Linked DNA regions of Drosophila melanogaster. The protein of the gene in region 2 interacts with the protein of the main gene of each other region in a pairwise test. Each region holds a gene or a part of one and is shown on either strand. Other genes may lie near its edges. The genes, in order: BicD and Chc.

Region 1 (5,217 bases), on a different chromosome or scaffold from region 2:
GCAGATATCTTGATTGCAAGTGGAAATATGTCGCCCAGTCTCCACATAGCTTCCTTTAAACCTCACCCCTTTTTTTACACTTTTGTGGGGACACAGAAAATGCCCGCAGTGACGTGGTCGTCGACGTTGCTATTATTTTTTTTGTAATTTTTAAGCATCCATTATAAATGTGTGTGTGTGGGTGGAGGGTTCTTTTGGCCTCGCACTCATTTTTTTATTTGTGTTCTCGTAAAAGTTCAGTTGAGTTCAAATCCAACAAGCTGGAAACTATCAAGCTACGTTACAAGTGCACTGCCACCTGTCCAACAATTAATTGGCAGGCTTTTTGTTCGAAGCGCATAAAAATGCATGCGCATATACGTATTACGCACATACATATGCCCATTTGTAAAAAAGGTGTTACCGCCTGCATTGTGTGTGTGCGTGTGTGCAGGTGTTAACGCCCCCGTAGGATTTTAATTCCAGCTAACTTTTGTTAGCCCCATGGTTAATGGAACTTTAATTGCACTGTTTGCTAATTGGGGATACTTAAAGAATATGAACTATATGTTTACACCAAAATCAAATCTAAAAATAACAAATGATTTTGTTAATTTGCGTAATACAGTAAACATGTGTATAATTGTTCTGATCTTTATTTAACCAGTTGTATTTACTGTATGCTTTATTTACCCTTCTCCAACAAAATCGGCCTAAACCAACGTTTTCTTTTGGCAACAAGCAAAACAAACCAAAAAGGAAGCTTGTTGGGACACCAGTCGGAAAAAGCCAAAGCACGAAATGATAATAGACGGCTGAATGAGTATAGACTGCTTCCCCCATTTGATTTTTACCGAGGAAAGGACACAACTTTTCCCTGCCGTCTGGTAATGCAGTTCAGAGCCCGACAATCCACGGCCTGTGAAAATTCCAGAGGAAATGCCAGGCGATGACGAGGACTAATTGGAAAGGAAGGTTGGTGGTAAGAAGAAAAGGAGGAGTTGGATGTGGAAGTGGAGGTAGTTGGGCACTGAATAAAGGTGCAAAATGAAATGGCAAGAGTAGATTGGCCGTGCTGCAATCGGCCAACTGAAAGCTGAGATAATTTTTATAGGCCAAAACAATGTTTATGCCAAATTGAGCGTGATCAGTGGAGACAAGATAAAGATAAAAAAACAAAGAAAACATAATTTTGAAACAATGAAATAATTCTGCCAGCCAAATGCATTTTAAATGTTTAAGTGTTTTCAATCAAATCAAATGAGAATGCTATAGTGTTAACTTTAAAGATCGCTTTATGATTTGAACAACACATATCATCTAGGATCACTAGAATAATGGCATCGCATGGCTTTTTTTGGCCTTTATACTGACGGACAGAAGGACACTTGGCTAGCGATTATGATCTATGATAAACATACATAAATACTTTTTGCGGTCGTAAAGGCTTTCTTTCAGCTGTTAAGTTGTGTTTTTCATTTTTTAGTTTATTTATTGTTTTGTTTAGCGGACTGAATAGTATCTTCAATCGACCCAAGCGGTTCCACTGTATTTAAAGGTATACAAAACAACAGCACGTGACCATATGGCCAAGCCAGTTTCCGATTTCATGATCAGAGAGCGAATCCCAATTATTTCTGCTAGACCAGACCAGACGGACTTTGCAGAGCGATAGGTAGACTCGCCGAAAGAGAGTCAAACTGGCCAACAGGTGAGCGAGTTAGTTTGCCAGCAAGACAAATTGTTGGCCGTTGTGGAAAGGTTTTCTCTGTCTAAATATGTAGGTGTGTGTGCCCCAAGGTGTGTGTGAGTACGCGAGTGGGCCAGCTGGGCGATAAGCGGCGACTGCTTGGAAACAGATCGAAAAACATAGCAACAGAGGGGGCCAAATTGGCGGGTTACTATATAACCCATTGGAGCATTTAAAAACTGCGAAGAATTGTAGGCAAACTTACCTCCTGTGTGATGTCCAGTTCGTGGCGCGTGTTGTCGTAGAGCGTCTCCAGTTCCTCGCACTTCTGCTGCAGGGCGGACTTCTCCTCCAGCAGGGACAGTCCGTACTGGGCGGACTGGGCGCTGGCGGAGGACACCTGGTCCAGTTCGCGCGTGAGGCGCTCCACCTCCATTTGCAGGTCTTGCACGGATTGGTCCGCCGATGGGCCGTTGTTGCTGGCGCTGGACATGATGATGGATGGATGGTGTCCTTAGTGGTCGGGGGAGGGGGTGATGGTGTGGGTGTTGGTGGACGGTACAGCTGCCCGTGGGCAGGTGAATCTCCTCGTTGTTGCTGTTGATGCTTCTATCCTGGGCGGAATCTTTTCGATACAATTTTATGTTTTGGAGGGAAATCGATAGAAGTCGATTTGTATATGCCGCACTGTTTTGTTGTACTTCAGTGCTTTTTTTAAAATAATTTTTTTTATCGAAACCCCACACTCACACAACTCCACTCGCGGTGTGCTTTTTGCGTGTGTGTGCGTGCGTTTCACCTTTTCTCTTTTCCGTTTGAATGCGAACGTGTGTGTGTGTGTGTGGAATGGTATCGCTGCGGGTTTTCTCCTCTCTTCACTCACCGCGCTAAATTAGTAAATTAAACAGCGCTTAATGGCCAATTAACCGTGGGCTTTTAACGGCAAATAATTCTGCACTATATTTATATATGCCTGTAAGTCACACACACACACCAGCGCACTGCCGTACGCACACATAGGCGCGTATAAAACAGTTGGCAGCAGAAACTGAAAACGCAGCGCAGGAAGTTGTTTCAATTAACTCGAAAAGAAACAGCCGAAATGACATCACACAATTTCCCCTTTCCTTTCGTTCGCTGGCAAAGTGGGAGTTTTTCCCATTTTCCCTGCACTTTCCCCGTTCGCACGACTGCTCTTCGCGTATTCTCGTTATCCGTTGCACAATTGCGGCGTAGACGGCTAAATGCGGTATATATCAGGCCCAATCGCTGCGGTCGTCGATGGAGTCGAAATTTTCAAGCAAGTGCAAAAACAAAATTTTGTCCGCAATCACGTCGATTCTTGGCAATGTTTGTGACGGAATTTCAGTGCGACCGCAGGCAAAACTTTCGATAATGCGGAGAGGTGTGGAGAAAAGCGTTAAGAATGCGCTTAGCTCGGACCCAAACCTCGCGTTGGTAATAATAATCGCGTTTCCACTACTAAGGGTATGATTTTATTTAAAATGCTTGAAGCAACAGATTTATTTTTATATAAAAATATATAATATAAATATAATTTAAGCTGAAACCAAAGTTTGTAAACAGCGTCAGCATTTCCCATACTATCAGAATGTTCGATATATGTCTCAAAAGTTATCGGGCCATGTAGCACATCGATACTCGATTTTATATTCACATTTCGCCTAATCACATTTACTTTTCAACTTGTCTGTCGATCGAAATTAAGCGAACAGAAATCTAAAGCATAACCAAAATGCCGGACGCAGTGCAGCAGAGTTTCGTGCGTAGCTTCATTGACTACCTGAAGAAGCAGGGGGACGTGATGTCGCCGGACCAGACCGAAAGCATCGAGGTGGCGATCCAGTGCCTGCAGGCGGCCTTTGACTTGGGCGATGATGTGGAGGCAGCGCCGGCTGCGGCTGGTGAGGAGCAGGCCACCACACAGAGCAGCAGCACTGCGAGCGCACCGGACGATGATGCGGTGGCCAGCGGAAGTGCTGGTATCGGCGCCGCCGCCGCCGCCGTTCCCAATAACATTGACATGTTCGAGCTCTTCCAGTCGCTGTATACAGAACGCAATCCGGAATCCCTGGCCCTGGCCGAATCCATCAAGAACGAGGGCAACCGGCTGATGAAGGAGAACAAGTACAATGAAGCACTGCTGCAGTACAATCGTGCCATCGCCTTCGATCCCAAGAATCCGATCTTCTACTGCAATCGGGCTGCGGCCCACATCCGGCTGGGTGAGAACGAACGCGCCGTAACCGATTGCAAGTCCGCCCTGGTGTACAACAACAACTACAGCAAGGCGTACTGCCGCCTGGGCGTGGCGTACTCCAACATGGGCAATTTCGAGAAGGCGGAACAGGCCTACGCCAAGGCCATCGAGCTGGAACCGGACAACGAGGTGTACAAGAGCAACCTGGAAGCGGCCAGAAACGCCAGGAACCAGCCGCCCCAAACGGGGCGATTAAGGGAAGACCTAATCAACATGCTGTCCCAGCCAATGGTTAGGAATTTGTTCAACAACGCCGAGATCGACGTGGAGCAGCTGCTGTCGATGCTTCAGAATCCAATGATCATGAACACCATTCGCCAGCAGTTCGGCGGCGGCAATGCCCCGACCCTGCCCAATGACATGGTGCAAATGATCTATAACATGACCAGCCAATTGACTGGCTTTCCCAATTCGAACGCAAATCCTGGCAATGAACAGCAGCCGGGCAATCAGCCACCACCGAGCACCTAGAAGTGGATAGAATCCCGATCCCCGATCCCTGCCTGGATCGGCGGCACACAGATTAAGTTGTTAAGCTGAAACTATAAATGTATTTATAATGTTTAAATGGCTTCTATTACGCATACATACATACATACATATACATTTTTATCCAATGGAAATAAATAAATGACCGTGCAAATTGCCGCTGTTCCAATCGAATTTTCAATGAATATTAAATATATATATTATAATGCCTCATATATTTTTCTAGTTGCCCGTCGTTAACAAAATTAAACAAGTATATCACACAGTGCATGTAATTTAATGTTGCTTTTATTGAATTCAAGAAATGTATGCTAGGGGTTTTTTTTTTGCTGATTTGCATCTCTAAATGGTACAATTGTTAATTTGATATTACATGTCAAATAAAAACTAATGGGTTTAAAACAAATGCCGATCTGTCGCAAACAGTTTGTCGCTTGAAAATCATTATCTTCAAAGCGGTCAACTTGAAAGTAGGTTTTATATTGATATTCGTTCACTTGGTTATTGGTATAATCTTATATTTATGCGTTTGACAGAATTGAAGGTAAAAACAGGAGTGATATAAATTTCAAACAATGCCAGCGCCTTTCTTTTGGGAAATGTATGAAAAGAAGGCGTGGCGTGTTTTGGAAAATTGCACAAGTACTTTAGCGAAAACAAATGTTATAACGAAAATAATAAAAGCAATGCGTGAGTGTATGAGTAAAATGGATGTAAAAATGTTGCATTTAATTTCCATGAAAATATGTTGCGCTGAAAGGAGACAAAGGGGAGAAAG
Region 2 (5,200 bases):
CTCTACATACACACCAGATGTTCAATCAGATTGACATTTCTAAAGAATTTCTTTCTTAAATACTTTATAATACTTTGTGATGATTTTCATTTATGCGCATTGAATCGTTGTGGGAATCTGATCGGCTGGGATCATTTATCACGCCATGCAGCGGATGTAGCAGGATATGCCGCACGATATGATGCTGCATAAAGTGTCCTCTGATCGGTGATCGTTACACAAACCGCATCCTGCGCAGTTACTTTTTATGGGACAAAACCCCATTGTGTGGATGCTACCAAATGTCCTGGAAATCGTAACGAATCCACGCATTCCGACCAAGGTATCCCCGCAGCTGTCCGGCGGAATCGTGTGATCCTGTCGCCCTGCCATCGCCGGCACCACAAAGTTCGCGCCCATGTCGCGGCCGCTGTAATCCTTCGATTACATCGTTACCTCACGGCGATAATCTTGGCGGGGCTGTATTATGGCGTTAGAGTGGGCGTGGCAACATGGATCTCAACTTGGGACTCTCAACCTTCTAGCTTTTATAGTTCTCGACGTTCATACGGACAGACGGACATGACCAGATCGACTCGGCTATTTCTCCTGATCAAGAATATATATATATATATAGATTATATGGTCGGAAACGCTTCCTTCTGCCAGTTTCAACGAATCTTACCCTTACGAGTAACGGGTATAAAAAATTGGAACTTGCATTATTATTGGCTCCCACAGAGAAGGGTATATTATTTGAATGACAACAACGTTTCAATGTAAATATATATTAAAATAATCTAGGTAAACATGAAAACGAAGAAAAATAAAAACAGAATTTAGTGGTATCTTTATGTTATCAAAATGAATATGATTGACAAAGCTCAGAGTCCGCAGCATTCTGCCATTTATCCTGGGCTTCCTAGATCCCAAAACCGAGTCGTAAGAACGTCTGTATATACTGTAGAAGAAACTTATATTAATAAAAGAATTTCCCTGGGAAACGAGGAGTTTATCAGTTTACCTTATTCTGTTAGCGACGGATCCTCTCCCAATGGCCCTGGGTTGAGGAATCCTGGGCGGGTGGGACGCCTAGCAGGAATGCGGCAGACTGCGAACGGCCAAAGCATCGAGCACTGGTCAAATTCGGACAATCCAGCTGGGTTTTTTACCACTGCAATAATGAAAAACTTTCAGAAGTCCTCAAGGGATTGCTCATGGTAGAGAGTGACATCGCTTTTGCTTTTAATAAAAGAATTTCCAAATTTTTGTGCCTGCAGGACAAAAATGATTATGTGTACCTTTTCGACAACTTGCTGAGGTGCTGGACCCTTCGCCCGTTCGAAGACTACCGCAAATCTGCGAGCGGGACGCCCGCAATATTCGTCTAGCTCCTTGCCCCATCCTTTGTCATGCCCTTGATCAGTCAAGTCAAGACGGTATAGATTCTATCGCCAAAAGGTGCTTCAAAATCGGATACTGCTGCTTACCTCATAGATTAAGATTTTATTGTTGGGACTCGGTTTTCCAAATGATAAAAACAATAAAAAAAATGTTTGGAGCAAATCCTAAAGTTGTTGTTTCTGTAGCACATTGAGTGTAAATGTCAAAAATAGTATTGAAAAAGAACAAAGTTAAAATCATCGCCTACTTAAAAATAGTATTGCATAGGAACAATGTTAAAATTATCGCCTACTTATTATCCAGCACTTAAGCAAGATAATTAATGTATATATATTTTTAAAAATTAACGAAAGAGAATGCTTTAGTCCCGTTCTCCGACTATCAGATACCCGTTACGCAGATAGTGTGAGTGCAAACGTGAAATTTAATAATTTTTTCTGGGGTGTGTTCTGTTACTCTACGAGTAACGGGTATAATAACTTCACATTCCAAATTAAATTGCTATAAAAAATAGATTTCCAATTAGAGAATATATCCAATTGGATCACTCGATAACACCTGTTAACCTTACGTATGTATTATGATCTAAAAACTTGTTATCGGCAAAATATAAATGAAGCTGATAAAATAAAATAAATTTGTTGTTCCTTACAAAGTTATACTACATTTACCTAAATAATAATTACATTCGAATATTATGAATAAATACGTGTAACAGTAGGATCGTGCGATACAAATATCGATTCGAATGTTGAATGTGGTATCGATGTTTTTTCACTCCACGCAATTGCATATTTGCCGTATATATCGGCATTAATTGTATAACTTTCACACCTCTACCTTGTCTTGCAGTCAGTATTTAGTCAAACAAAAGAAAAATAAACTACATTTGTTAGAGCTTGATAAGAGCTCAGTTTGTCTTCAGTGTGTGTGCCCGTCATCTAGCAACAAACCGACGTGATTATTTCGAGTATGATAGTACTTAGCGTACATTTTTGTTAAATTGCAGTAAGCATACGGGCTCCAAATATCTTTCGATTCATTGGGAAAAAATGTAAAGTGCTAAAGTGCGTGTGTGTGTTCGCTTGCAAATGCAATATATACATACAAATTTTGTTTATTTGATGTAAAAGCATCCGATTAATTTACCGTTTATCTAATTATGTTCTTGTTTATGTGGCATATTGCGGCACTGCAAGTGTGCGCGCTCATCTGTGAGTGTGTGTGCGCGAGTGCTGCTGTGTGCGTGTGAATTGGGAATTACCGCTACTCAATTTGATGTATATACACCGAATTTCGTCAATTTCATGGCATTGTCCCATTGTTATCAGGCGCAAAACAGTGATATTTAAATGCGATTTTCGATTTTCATGCACACACAGGGGGAGGGAAAACAAGAGCAAAATTGCTGTACATGTATTAGTCAGTGACTAATTGTTCAAAGCGCAACTCAACATGGCTGACTTTTTCTGTGGTGAGCAGCGATTTTTGATGATAATGCTGCCTCTTTTCTTTTCAAATTCTCTCTCTTGATTCGCTCTCACTCTCTCTCTCTCTCCCTCGCTCACCTCAAATAAAATAAAGTGCTGGTAATTTTCCCGTCGTAACGGCAAGTGCAAAAACGCAAGAAAACGAATAAAAATACCGATACAAAGGATTAATCGTAGGAAATAATTTCGTCTATATATTTTCTTGCACAAAAGCGATTGGGGATACAATAAGAGACTCGGTGTTTTATTTTAAGGGCGTTTACATCCATATGTACATACATATAGGCCTTTATCTTTCATTTTTTCATCCGGTGACGCTGTCACTTTCTATCAACAATAAAATAACGCCCACAATTTGATTTTTCCTCATTCTTGCCGCATCAGTGCTGTCCATAACTACATGTTTTTCCAAAATCTTTTGTCTTTCGTGCAGCTAAACGTTCCAATGGAAACCGAATCTTAAACCAGAAACCGACTAAACTCGAACGCAATTAAACAACAATAAATCCTCGAAACAAATCAAATACAAACTGTTACCAAGTGTGCAATTCAAGAAAACATCGTATTGGCATTGTTTTCGCAAAGATACATTTACGTTGTAAAGGTCTGTCAATAACTAGACCTCACTGTAGTAGTAAAGATGACGCAACCACTGCCCATCCGCTTTCAGGAGCATTTACAGGTGAGTAATATTAAATATTTTGGATCTACCATCATTACATATCCACATACGTACAACCCACCAATATGCCACGATTACCTACGATTATATCCGATTCATAAGCTCCCCACTTTTCTTATGAAAATTTCACGGTTTCCAGCTCTAATTCAACGTGTAAACAGAAAATATGGGGGCTTAGGTCGAGTTTCTACTTTGCTATACCTTCTATTCAAGTCTGTATACAGTGTATTTTCTATAGAACTAGTTATAATACAAATTTACATCTAAACTTAAGCAAAGTATTGCGAATATTTAATAGTAAATGTGGGTCAATCCAGGCCAGTTCAATAATTAATAATGAATGATTATATTGTGTAATGAGTGCGTATGCTATGATTTTCGATTTATCAATTAACACACATTTTCAATCTCCACTACGGACAGCTCACAAATGTCGGGATCAACGCCAATTCATTTTCATTCAGCACGCTCACGATGGAATCGGATAAGTTTATTTGCGTGCGGGAGAAGGTGAATGATACCGCCCAAGTGGTCATCATTGACATGAACGATGCCACCAATCCCACGCGGCGTCCCATCTCAGCGGATTCGGCTATCATGAATCCAGCTAGCAAGGTCATTGCGCTCAAAGGTAACTGAAACCGATGGTCCAGTCGATCAGAATGTCCGAAGAGGATCAGATTTTAGCTTAAAGTAACGTAGGCTTAGTAAACAGGTCCGCTTGTTATTACAACGTGTCTAGAAAACTTAAAACCTCACTTAAACTTTAACTTGAATATCAAATAGTAAGGAAAGAGATCAAAGTTTTTTTCCGGTCGACTGGGATAATGCATTTTTGAACATGTATAACTTTAGAATATTTCTTTTAGCGCAAAAGACGTTGCAGATCTTCAACATTGAGATGAAGTCGAAGATGAAGGCGCATACCATGAACGAGGATGTGGTGTTCTGGAAGTGGATCTCCCTCAATACGCTAGCTCTGGTCACAGAAACGAGTGTGTTCCATTGGTCCATGGAGGGCGATTCGATGCCGCAAAAGATGTTTGACCGGCATTCATCGCTGAACGGTTGTCAAATCATCAACTACCGCTGCAATGCCTCCCAGCAGTGGCTACTCTTGGTCGGCATTTCGGCACTGCCAAGTCGCGTTGCCGGTGCCATGCAGTTGTATTCGGTGGAGCGTAAGGTGTCCCAGGCGATCGAGGGGCATGCGGCCAGTTTTGCCACGTTTAAAATCGATGCCAACAAGGAGCCGACCACGCTGTTCTGCTTTGCAGTTCGTACGGCCACTGGGGGCAAGCTTCATATTATCGAAGTTGGTGCTCCGCCGAACGGCAATCAGCCGTTTGCCAAGAAGGCTGTCGATGTCTTCTTTCCGCCGGAAGCACAAAATGATTTCCCTGTGGCTATGCAAGTCTCTGCCAAGTACGACACCATCTACTTGATAACCAAGTATGGATACATACATCTGTATGACATGGAGACGGCCACGTGCATATACATGAATCGTATATCGGCCGATACGATCTTTGTTACCGCACCGCATGAGGCAAGTGGTGGCATCATTGGCGTCAATCGCAAGGGACAGGTCCTCTCCGTGACCGTCGACGAGGAGCAGATCATTCCCTACATCAACACCGTTCTG

What was found.
Region 1: the proteins of Chc (region 2) and BicD interact in binary tests that used the Drosophila melanogaster proteins (3 or more experiments, as listed by UniProt).

The regions. Positions count from the first base shown.
Region 1 is NT_033779.5:17,470,163-17,475,379, forward strand, and holds the start of BicD (bicaudal D), read right to left. Parts: upstream 3,054-5,217; 5' UTR 2,163-3,053; coding exon 1,935-2,162; intron 1,691-1,934; exon of another isoform or gene 1,441-1,690; intron 1-1,440. Other genes in the region: Sgt (small glutamine-rich tetratricopeptide containing protein), read left to right, coding at 3,426-4,421. UniProt on the Drosophila melanogaster protein: This protein is essential for differentiation. It may play a role in localizing of Nanos (a maternal determinant) activity in oocytes. Functions redundantly with BicDR.
Region 2 is NC_004354.4:15,832,478-15,837,677, reverse strand, and holds the start of Chc (clathrin heavy chain), read left to right. Parts: upstream 1-2,187; 5' UTR 2,188-2,391; exon of another isoform or gene 2,392-2,450; intron 2,451-2,765; exon of another isoform or gene 2,766-2,857; intron 2,858-2,923; exon of another isoform or gene 2,924-3,046; intron 3,047-3,306; 5' UTR 3,307-3,513; coding exon 3,514-3,555; intron 3,556-3,978; coding exon 3,979-4,186; intron 4,187-4,424; coding exon 4,425-5,200. UniProt on the Drosophila melanogaster protein: Clathrin is the major protein of the polyhedral coat of coated pits and vesicles.